3 linked regions of the Canis lupus familiaris genome follow. The protein of the gene in region 3 purifies or fractionates together with the protein of the main gene of each other region. This does not show direct contact. Links are inferred from orthologs where the notes say so. Each region holds a gene or a part of one and is shown on either strand. Other genes may lie near its edges.

Region 1 (4,219 bases), on a different chromosome or scaffold from region 3:
TCCTTCTGGAAAACATGCTCCCTATCCTCAGATGGCTTTCCCTCTATGAGTTGGGTCTCCTTCCTGCTTAGATTGAAGCAGGCCTACAGTCCCCACCCCAAAGAGCCCTCAGGGCCATGACCACCTCTACCCATTACCTGGAGAGAGAAAGCTATGTAGATGGCAACAGAGCCGGTGACTGTGCCCAGGCCTAGGAAGGTGCCTGATTCACTGCAACAAACAATAAAGTGTTCACTGTTCTGGAGGCCTGTGCGGCAACATTCACGAAGAGTGGTCTTCAGAGCCTCAGACCAGACACCTTCCCGAGCTCCCCCAGGCACCCCGCAACCGGTCAAGCCACCACTGTCTCACACCTGACACTAAGGCAGGAGATGACTTCATGACCACAGGACTTGGTGCGAAGGGGCAAGAAGGTGGAGCCATCCCAGGCTGTGAGGTAGCAGGGTGGGGGCTGGCGCAGACGCTTGTGGGGAATCTGTACCGTGAAGAGTCGCAGCCTGGTAGGTTGGTCTGGAACGTGCCCAAACCTGGGGGCCGGGGGAGAAGCTGTTCAGTTCCCAGGGCCAGCCCAGCCCTTCCCAGAGGTTTGTGCCCTCCTATCCCCTGCCAAGCCACCAAGGCTACAATCCTTCCCAGCTTCCCCCCAGTCTTTTTCCACTCCCCCACCACATCTAGGCTGTGCCTCTTTTAGCTACCCTCTGGGGTCTCACACCTGCAGGCCTGGTAGCGGTAAGGCGTGTTAGAAAAGGTGGGTCCATTCTCTTGCCAGTGCAGCTGTGTCACCAGCTGATCCTTCTGCCACACGGAGGCCTTAAGGTCCCAGCCCACAGTTACCAACTAGTCAGGAATCAAGATTCCAAGGATGGACAGTTAGGGGATCCACTTATGGGACAAGCAGCATAATCCCCTACTTTCTCCACCTTCTCACTTCCTCACCTTGCCATCAGGCCCCAAAGCCAGGTCCTCAATCTCTCCTTCGTGGGCTCTGAACTCCAGAACTTTCTCTAGGCTGGGTACCTGCAGCCAAACCATCACCATGGTTACCCCAGGTATCTGGTAAGAGTGCAAGCATCCCCTACCCCTCCTTTTTTCTGCCACTCAGTGCAGGCTTTGCTCACATTGTTTCCCAGAACCCATGTTTAGTTTCTCACAATTCTGGCCTTGCTGGTACCAACCACTGATTCCCTAATCCCCGAAACCACACCTTCCAGATACGAACGTAGCCATCTGTCCCTCCAGTGGCAAGCAGTGTGTTATCGTGGTTGAAGCATACAACTTTCTGAAACGGATCAGGGCTGAAGTCTGTCTGCACGGCTTTCAAATTCTCTACGCTCAGCTCTATCCCCTCCTGGTGGGTTTCAGCTCCAGGCTTCTTCTCTACTGGGGCTGCCCCCTTCCTCTGTCGAGGCCCCTGCTCCTTGGAACCTGCAATAAAAAGAGCCTGCCAGGTTCCAGGCTCCTATAGTAAGTAGTACCGACCCCTTCCCTAGTAGTGAACATCCAGCTTCTTGCCTGCTACCATAACCCACTTCCAGCCCCACTTTTTTAGAAACCAAAGTAAATGACCTTATGCATTCAATCCTTTCCCCAAAGCTAATGAGGGAGCTTCTCACCTGCCTTCTCTACCTTGGTTTTGCCCTTCTGCTGGTGGGTCTGGAAGCGCAGGAGCTGACAGTGGGCATCCTGCCCTGCAGCAAGGATGTTACCAGCCAGAGCCAAGTTCATGGTAGCCCGTGTCTCTGTGTCATGGGAGTGTAGCAAGGAGGCACTAAGGCGCCCATTAATCTGCTCTAGCTGTAGAAAGTGCTGTGGAAGAGGGAACCAGGATGAACAAAGTTCAGGGCTGCCCGGAGAGCACCTCAAGTTTGCCAAGGGCGAGCTTACATCCTATAGTCTAACGCCCTACCCCTTTGGTTACCGCACTTTCTACTTTAAAAAGTTTTTTTTCCAGCCTGCTTGCTGCTTTCCCTTTTTTTCTTTCAAACCGCACAAATTTGTACAGCAGGCAGGGTGGGGATTAATACCTCCAGTTTACAAAATAACAGAGTGACCCTCAGAGGAGTGAGGAAACCTAGCCTAAAGGCAAAAGGCAGCACTCTTGCCGCTGCTGGAGAGCAGCGGGACAAGTCTTTGCGGCCTCCCCAGAAAAGATCAGGAGATGGCCCCTGGAGCTGCTCCTGAGGTTCAGGTGAACCCTAAGTTCCTGCTTAAGCGGCGCTGTGTACTGTTTTTAGTCTAACTTTGGAGTTCCTGGTAAGTTCTCAGCTGAAATTCGCGCTAGGCGCCGGAAAATCCCGGGCCTTCCCACCCGGGAGGGGCAAGGTCTGAAGCTCGAGGCGCGGCCATCCCCGAGACCACCTACCACCATCGCCCATGGCGTGACCCGGCCCCCGTGACCCTGAGCTCTCACCACGCCATTCTTTATGCCCGTCTTGGCAGCGCCTCCTCCTCCTGCAGCAATGAGCAGCCCCGTGCTGGGGTCGACCTGAAGCGCGTACAACGGGAACGGGGCCCGGTACAGCTCTGGCGCCCGGCGCCGGCCCATCCTGATCGCCACGCGCTTCACTCTAAGCACCGCGGCACCAGGGACATGCCGCGCCCGGCTTTCGACCACTGTCCCGGCCGCTATTTAACCTGGTCCGGTGGCCGCCAGGAGGATCCCCAGCTCCTCTCCCACACCCCTCGGAGTTGCCAAAACTCCAACCCAGAGACTTGCCAAAACGACACTCGGGGATCAGTCTCTCCGCCCCCCCAACCAGCCAGTTCGGGCTGTCGCGCAGTGCGCACGCGCGCCTAGCCCGCGCTCTCCGTGCGCAGGCGCAGGGCCGCCGATACGCGTCAGCACTAGCGGGCCGCTGTTGGAGCGCCCGCCCCAGGATTCCGTCCCCCTTGTGACGTCAGCCCCCGCCATGTTTGCGCGGGGAGGAGCGGCATACGCCGCCTCCAAGGGGCGGGGCTCGGGCCTTCCGCGGGAGGCGAAGGAAGGGAGCTAATGACAACGAAGGGAGGCTGATGAACCTTTAAGTGAAGAAATCCGTGGGGGCTCTTGGCTGGCTCATTTGGTAGAGCATGTCACTCTTGAGCCCAGGATTAGAGATTTGAGCCTCAGGTTGGATGACTTAAAAATAAAAATCTTAAAAAAAAAGAATCCTTGGTTAAGGGCTGCGACACACCTTGGAAATCCAACATTTAGGAACATGAACTGTGTCTTTTCCCTTTTAATGGAGGCAGTGTGGACTTCAAAACTGGCTTCAAATCCTCAATCCACTGATTGCTAGTTTGAGGAGGCCTCTATTTACATAGCAAAACATCTATGGTCTGTGGTTGGCAGATGTGAGACTGGGCCAGTCTTGCAGCTCTGCACACTGCCCTTGCACTCAGGGGTTTGGGAGTGGAGGCTGCTCCCTGCCGACACCCTCAGAGGGAGGCAGCTTGGCTCCCAGGCAGGGCAAGTGTCTTTTCTGCCTGGCATTCCCACTTTCCTGAGGGAAACCCTTGGGTTTCTGATCTTCAACATGAAGACTCTTAAAGTTTCTCTGCAAGTGTACTCTAGGAATGTCCATTCCTTCAAGGAGACCCCTCCTGCTGCATCCCCGGCTGCCTGAGTCAGCATGCTTATTAACCTAAAGTGCGCTGGGAGGAAGGGGCCCAGTGGCTTCGTCTTTGGGGATGCCATCATCTGTCCTACCAAACTGAATCAACTGTGTGAAGGGCCTCACAGAGCCCTCGGCACAGCTCAGGTGCTCAGGCCTTATGGATCCCACACCCTCCTCAGGTATGTGGCACCTACTGTCCTGGCCACTCTGTTCCCTTTGACTCTCCCCCTCCCCTTGCTTAGTTGTGGCCTCTTGTGGGTTCAGCTACCCACAGAACCAGTGTCTGCTCAGCAGGACACTATGTTGTAGGATTTCTTCCTGTTCTTGATCACACCGCTTAGAAGAATGAAGAGTGGTGGGCAGCAAAGTTTATTGAGCAATAGTACAGAGCTCCCAAAGAAGGAGGGGACCCGAGAGGGTTGCCATTTTGGTGTTTAAATCTAGGGGTTTTTAAAGGCTCTTTGGTGTGGGCTGTTTTTTTAAATATTTTTTTTTAATTTTTATTTATTTATGATAGTCACACACATAGAGAGAGAGAGAGAGAGAGGCAGAGACACAGGCAGAGGGAGAAGCAGGCTCCATGCACCGGGAGCCCGGCGTAGGATTCGATCCTGGGTCTCCAG
Region 2 (4,196 bases), on a different chromosome or scaffold from region 3:
TGCCTCTGCTTATGCTCTCTCTTTCTCTCTCTGTCAAATAAATAAAATCTTTAAAAAATAAAAAATCAGAGCCTGAGGATCATCAGTTTCCATGTCCACCATCAGGCCACCCATAAAACTGAAAGAGAGCAGCTCAGGGAGTCTCCAGGAGCAAGGGCCTGAGAGCAGGAAAAGGATGACCCAGAAGTTACAACCCAAACAAGGAAACAAAAAAACACACAGTGAAAAGGACATTTTGCTTTTTTAACAGACTAATAACAGTACCTATGATTAGGTAACTGTTTGCAGAGCTGCCAACCTTTCACAAATATTAATAGTTTAGAAAAAAATACATATACAATGAACTTTACACGTGAACACTTGAAACGTTGTCCTGCACAAAGTTGAGAGGAGGACCTCGAATGCTCACGAGCCCTTCTGTTGTGAAGCAACAAAGTCCAGGATTTTCAGGTTTTGCCACTACCACCTTTCCTATGTATGGAGCATACACGGCTGGTAAGGCCTGAACTTAATACTGAGAAGAATCAACCCCGAGCCATTCTGTTTTGTTTAAGGAACCGAGCAGAGCCTCTACCTGGTTCCAGGCCTGATGCCTGCTGGGGACACAGGAAGATGTCGCCATCAAAGAACCCAGGAAAACAGTTCCACCTACAGCACTAAACAAGCCAATACAAATAAGAAGATAAAGTGTGTCAAATTTGTACTTACACTTCCGGCCCAAACTTCAGGCGGTCTCCCTGCCAGTTTATAGTAGACATACACAGCATCACCTTTTTTAAAACTCACGAAACGACAATCTGGGCCTATAAAATCTTCTAGAGCCTCACCTCGGTACATTAACACTGCAGGTAAAGAAGGAGGGGGGAGAAAAACAGGTATCAGGATTCTACTTTCACAGTCCATATTGATTTTTCAGGAAAGAGGAGGGTTTCCTCTACTCTATAAACAACAACCAAGTTTCTCCAGTACTCTCTGGAATCAATCGCTTTCGATTCATATGCTCCAAGTATCTAAAATCTTTAGAGCTTTATCATTATATATTGTCCCCTACAAGTAGACAGGGGAGATGGCCACTTTGCCTGTATTTCTCTATGGATAAACCAAAAGCAATGAGTCCACCACTACACGTAGCTGGAGCTGGTCTCAGGAGAAACTCTTGGTTCTCTCTCTAACCTTCTTGTCCACAATCTCTGCTGTTCCATAATCATAAAAAGGTTCACGGTGCAATTGGATAAATTCAAGAGCAGATGCTGGCTGGCTTAAGCATGGCCGCATGAAGAGGCAACAGGGAACTGGGGAGAGCACCCAGGAACCCCCAAGGGGTCAATTAACTTCAACTAACACTAAAAGGCACTATCTTTAAGTGGCTATAACTGCTACCATGCAGCAGTAAACACTGTCAACTTCATTTGAGGCCACGCTGTGGCCTTCTTCCCTGTATAGTTATCTGGATAAATTAACGGGAAAGGACATCACATCCTATTAGTGATGAATAGTGATAATCACATATGATTATCCAATCATACGACAGGGTAATGTGAAATTATTATGAAAGCAGATAATGTTCACTGTCCCCAACACTATGAAGGTTTCAAAACGAAGGAAAGATCCCCTTTTTTTATGTTTATACACAAAATCACATGTGGGCATCACGTGTTGCAGGGACAAGCAAAACTAGGAGAATTGTTCAGTAGTTACCTTCAGTCTTAAAATGCAGGACTTATATCACACTTGATCTAGAAACTAGGGGAAGCAGCATTTCTCTGTTGGCCAAACACACAGTTTCTGATATAACATGAAACGGACAATAGATACAATTAAATAAGAGAGAAAATAAGGGTGACATTGAAAGTACATTTCTTCTTAAAGCCAGTCAGCCATAAGTACATTAAAATGTATTTCAGGTACATATTTGAGGGATGAACAGACAGACTGGCGGACAGTTTTTTGGATTTTTCAAGCTAAAATCAGATGACTTTAATACATGTCAGCATCCTAATTCAGATGTAATTGGGGAAAAGGCCAGGTTGAAGATGATGGACAATTTAAGACCCGGGATGCTATCAGAACTGGAAATGGCAATGCTGCTTTTGTTTCCCCCTTAGAAGAGATCACTGAAAAACTGTAACAATAAATTAGATGACAACACTGCCCGCTGTTGGAACAACTCTCTGAAAAGCACACAAGGACAGCTCACACCCACACACATACCCCTCACTGGATACTTTATGCAAAAGCACAGTCCCGGGCCCTGCTGGGCTGCCGCCTGTCGGGTTTGGGTTTTATCTGTTTGGACACTTCTCCTTCCCCAACTCCTGTGACAAGCAAGGGCCTTCTCAGGACCATGTCTCGGTACCGGTACTGGGGAAGCATCAAGGATGGGATCCTCCAGGTAACTGGTTCCTCCTTTGAGGAACCCAAGGAGGGGAGCGCTTGAAGGCAAAGAAGAGCAAACATGTCTCAACCCTGCCTGCTAAAAATCGGGATTTGCTCAGAGAAGCCCGAGGGGGAAAAGGCGTGGAAGACGCTCCACTTTGGTCGTGCGTCTTTGCCCTAGGTTACCTCTAGGAATGGCTTCACACGGATCAGATGCCTCCTCGCTTCCCGTGCACGGCGTGTTGCCGGGATACAAACTCTTCCAACTATGAAATCTGTTCTCGAATAGCACCAATTTGAATATGAATAAGCCAAACTCCATAGGCTGTAGGGCCTCTCCCGCAGGAGCAGTCTGCGAGGTGCACCGGCGGCCACTTAGGAACGCTCCCGCGCGCTCACCGTCAAGGTACAAGGTCACTCAAGACCCTCCGCGGGGCCCTAAGACCGATCCCGGTCCCGCAGACACAGAGGCAGGGGTCCCAGCACCGCGAGGCACCAAGGCCAAGGCCGGCGGGGCTCAGGGGCCCCCCGAGTGCCCCTCGCGGTCGCTCCCCGAATCCGGTCCGTGGGGCTCCGGAGCCGTCTGTCCCGCTCACCGCCCTCGGTCCATCCCCCACCCGCGGTCTAGGGCCGGGGCGCGATTCCGCTTCCTGCGCCAAGCGGAGGAGGCTGCCGGGCCCAGGTGGCCTCTGCGGGTTCTCGGCCTCTTCCGAGAGCCTCAGCTTTGGGCCTCCTGAGGGGCCCTCCCCGCCCGGCGGCCGCCAGGAGCCCTCCCGGCACAGACCGACAGGAGCGAGGCGGGGACCTCGGGCTCCCGGCTCGTCCCAGACCCAAGCTCCGACCCCGTCCAAAGGCGCTGCGAGCCCCCAACCGAGGGCAGCGGGAGGGCAGAGGGGGCAGCGCCCGCGCCCGCGCCCTCCCCGAGCGCCCCGCGGCCCGCAGGCTGCGCCCGACCCACCGCCCCGCGGAGCCCAGCGCGCGGCGCGCACCCCAACCGCCCGGTCTCCCCTCGGGGCCGGGCCGCCGCCCCCGCCCCCGCCCCGCCGGGCCAGCGGAGGGAGGGAAGCCCCCGCAACAAGTGGAGGCGCAGCCCCCGGCAGGGCCCGCGGCGCCCATCCCGGCCCGGCCGGCCTGCGCCCCCCGCGCCCGCGCCCCCCCCCCCGCCCGCCGCTCACTGCTGCACTCCTCGTCCGCGCACACTTTGTGCTCCGCGAAGCGCCGGCTCGCGTCCGCCCGCGCCTGGCCCCGCACCCGCCACGGCGGCCCGAGCAGCAGCAGCCAGAGGAGCAGCCCCGGCGCCGCAGCCATGTTGTGGTCACCGCGGGGAGCCGGCGGCGCCGAGGCCGAGGCGGAGGCGGAGGCGGAGGCGGAGGCGAGGCCGGGCGGGCGCGGCGGGCGGGGCCGGGGGCGGGGCGCGGCGGGGCGGGGCGCGGGAGGGCGCGGCGGGCCCCGCAGACACGTCAGCACCGCCTCGGCGGCGGCCCGGGGGCTCCGGGGAGGGGAGAGGGGAGGGGAGAGGGGAGGGGAGAGGGGAGGGGAGAGGGGAGGAGAGAGGGGAGGGGAGAGGGGAGGGAAGGGGACAGGGGAGGGAAGGGGGGCGCGCTCCCACCCGCGCCCCGACCCGCGCCTCCCCCGACCCGCGGCCCCGCGCGCCCTCGGTACCCGCGCCCCCCTGCTCCACCAGCGTCCCCGCGCGCCCTCGACCCGCGCCCCCGCGAGCCCTACGTGCCCTGCCCCCGCCCTCCGACCCGCACCCCCGCGCGCCCTCGGACCCAAGCCCCCCTGCTCCGACCCGCGCGCCCTCGCCCCCGGGCTGCGAC
Region 3 (2,605 bases):
ATAATCATACTAATGTGCAAGAAGACTAATGATAATAGAATACAAACTTGAGGAAACAGCTTAGGCTGAAGAAAACATTCTAAAGATATTGAGGCCAAATCCAGTATTCCTGTAGTAAATTTCAACAGTCCCCACTAAAAAACAGTAAATGTCTTGCAAATTAAGAGAAAAGCAAGCCAGAAAAGCTAGCGAATGAACTAAAAAAGATCGAAACTGAAAAATTACCATTTAAACAATATCCTGGTTTTCTTTAAAATCAATGTTGCAAATAAATAAATAAATAAATAAATAAATAAATAAATAAATAAAATCAATGTTGCTTTTGATCATTCATCTCCACTTGCAAGAAAGAGGGCACACTCTTGGAAAGATAATCGAATGGGAAAAGCCCAGATAAAGCTTTAGTTTTGAGCCTCAAAACTATTGGGAAAAGTAAAAAACTAACTAATGGAGACATATTTACAGAAAACTAGCTGATTTATTATTATCATCAATACCAAACAAGTCTTTAAGTCAATTAAAATTTATTTAATTATGCATAAAGTTACTTTCACATTTGTCTACAACCATAGTAGATACAGCTCTTGGCAAAAAGACACAGCCTTCGGAGTTTAAAACATCCCCAACTGCAAGATTACATATATAAAACTCCCATTGTTATTTATGTGATAGTGGATTTGTTAATCAAATTAAAATAATTATACTATCTACAATAAAATAAAATGGAAATAATTTACTCGTAAGATTCATATTTAAATCATCTTTATTTACAAAATACTATCCTGAGAATTATAATTCCATTAAGCTTCAATTTGAGCGAAAGTAGAATTACTTAAGTAACAGCAGTTACTTAAACTGAAAATGAGAGAGAAGTCAAAATTACTTTCGAAGAGAGATCAAAAATATTGTCAAGTTTCTTGTTGTGGTTCTGGATGTTCAGTAGTAGGTTCATTTGAAGGTGGTATCAACCCTGATGGGAACTCACTTCTACTTTCAGGATGTGGGGGTGGGGGAAAAAATCCAGCTCTTGGGGGAAGATAATGAGGAAAACCTCTCGGTGGATAGACATTTCTCACTGTTCAAAGAGATTGGTAAAAAACATTTTTTAACTTTAAGTACCTGTACTGCAGTTCTAACAAACGATTAGTTTATAACTTAGAGTACACCTATCTTTATATTCCAAAACTGACATCAGTATAATTACTTGATCAAACAAATGAATTTTTACAGCATAGAAAAAAAGCATACTCTCTTCAACTGCTTATGATTAAAGGGAATATCATTAATTTTAGACACAATTTTCATCCTATGAAAACCTAACATCTTAACACTTTTTAAAAAGGAGAATTATTCCAAAATATATGAGGTTTACTTTCTAAATTTTTCATGTAGTATAATTTTCACCAGACTTAAAATTCAGATCAGTAATTCCCAATTCTAATTTGGTATTATCCTAAGACATTTACAGGTTTATCAAAGACTACCTTGAAATTCCCCCAAATTCATTTTAATTCACCTTAAACTTTAAAATAGAGGAGAAATGAAGGAAGAGACACCACATCAGGCATATAATAGCCTTCTGCCTAGTGTTTGGTAACCATGTATTTATTCTACAGAAACATCTAGTTCTAAATGGCAAAATATAGCTAGAAAACAAAAAAATCATTCTTTTTTTCTTATGTGAGGCTATGAAAGAATTTCAATAAATTCAACAATTAGTCCAAACATGATAAACATAGTTCAGGTTTTAAAAAAGTAGGATTACATAGGAACTACTTATGAAAAAGTATTTTAAAAATACGTCAGCCAGTAGTTTTAATGCTAAAATATAAGCTGTAATTATTTTTATTAACTGATACAGTAACCAGTTTCCAATCAAATAAGATACAAATAATTTTGGTCCTAATGGAAGACTACTGCAAAAAGCCAATGATTTTCCCGATTACTGAAATACAGAAGTAATTCCATATCATTAGAATCAATAATGTGGAAGCCATATTATGGTCTACTAATGGCTGGCTGCCTTCCAATTTGTAACAGTAATGGTATATTCACAGCTAGAAAAACGTACAATATGAATAAGAAATAGAATTCTATCTTTGACTTACTCTATAAAACATATATTAAGTTTAAAAGAAAAACATACTTGCAAATGGAGGATGTGGTGGGCCAGGGAAATCCCTTGGTGGAAAATAATCTCGGGGAGCTCCATACATGCTTCCTGGAGGAGGCGGAGGAAAAGGAGGACCTCTTCTCATGAATGGGCCCCTTGTATCCATCGGAAACAATGGACCCCTGATTGGAGCGAGAGATGGAGGAACAAAGCCAGGGCCAGTTGCTTCACTTTCAGCAGGGAGAGATGAATCAGGCACATTTAAATTCTATAACAAATTGACATATGGTAGTCACTAAAACAACAGCAAAATTTGCAATAATCTTCCTGAAAATCTTAGGTCTAGAAGAAAGCACCTAGGCAGAAAGCAGTCTGTGACAGTCTTCATAGTCTCCTGAGAAAGATTCTGTTTTCTATGTCAGATGGATTTTTTTTCATCACAAATATTAACCCAAAAGAAAACAGCTTTAACCAAAACAAAGTAATATTCTG

What was found. The genes of interacting proteins can lie anywhere in the genome.
Region 1: the proteins of MIA2 (region 3) and PREB purify together in Homo sapiens (affinity purification with western blotting; 3 studies listed by BioGRID and IntAct, with this or other methods). This does not show direct contact. The link is inferred for Canis lupus familiaris from reciprocal best matches to the Homo sapiens genes MIA2 and PREB.
Region 2: the proteins of MIA2 (region 3) and MIA3 purify together in Homo sapiens (affinity purification with western blotting; 6 studies listed by BioGRID and IntAct, counting the BioPlex papers as one, with this or other methods). This does not show direct contact. The link is inferred for Canis lupus familiaris from reciprocal best matches to the Homo sapiens genes MIA2 and MIA3.

Annotation. Positions count from the first base shown.
Region 1 is NC_049238.1:21,182,876-21,187,094, forward strand, and holds the start of PREB (prolactin regulatory element-binding protein), read right to left. Parts: upstream 2,804-4,219; 5' UTR 2,546-2,803; coding exon 2,411-2,545; exon of another isoform or gene 1,807-2,410; coding exon 1,614-1,806; exon of another isoform or gene 1,426-1,613; coding exon 1,205-1,425; exon of another isoform or gene 1,018-1,204; coding exon 937-1,017; exon of another isoform or gene 838-936; coding exon 713-837; exon of another isoform or gene 528-712; coding exon 354-527; exon of another isoform or gene 211-353; coding exon 138-210; exon of another isoform or gene 1-137.
Region 2 is NC_049259.1:17,574,168-17,578,363, reverse strand, and holds the start of MIA3 (transport and Golgi organization protein 1 homolog), read right to left. Parts: upstream 2,804-4,196; 5' UTR 2,699-2,803; coding exon 2,563-2,698; intron 843-2,562; coding exon 709-842; intron 1-708.
Region 3 is NC_049229.1:17,648,508-17,651,112, reverse strand, and holds the end of MIA2 (melanoma inhibitory activity protein 2), read right to left. Parts: intron 2,382-2,605; coding exon 2,147-2,381; intron 1,076-2,146; coding exon 909-1,075; 3' UTR 508-908; downstream 1-507. UniProt on the Homo sapiens protein: Plays a role in the transport of cargos that are too large to fit into COPII-coated vesicles and require specific mechanisms to be incorporated into membrane-bound carriers and exported from the endoplasmic reticulum.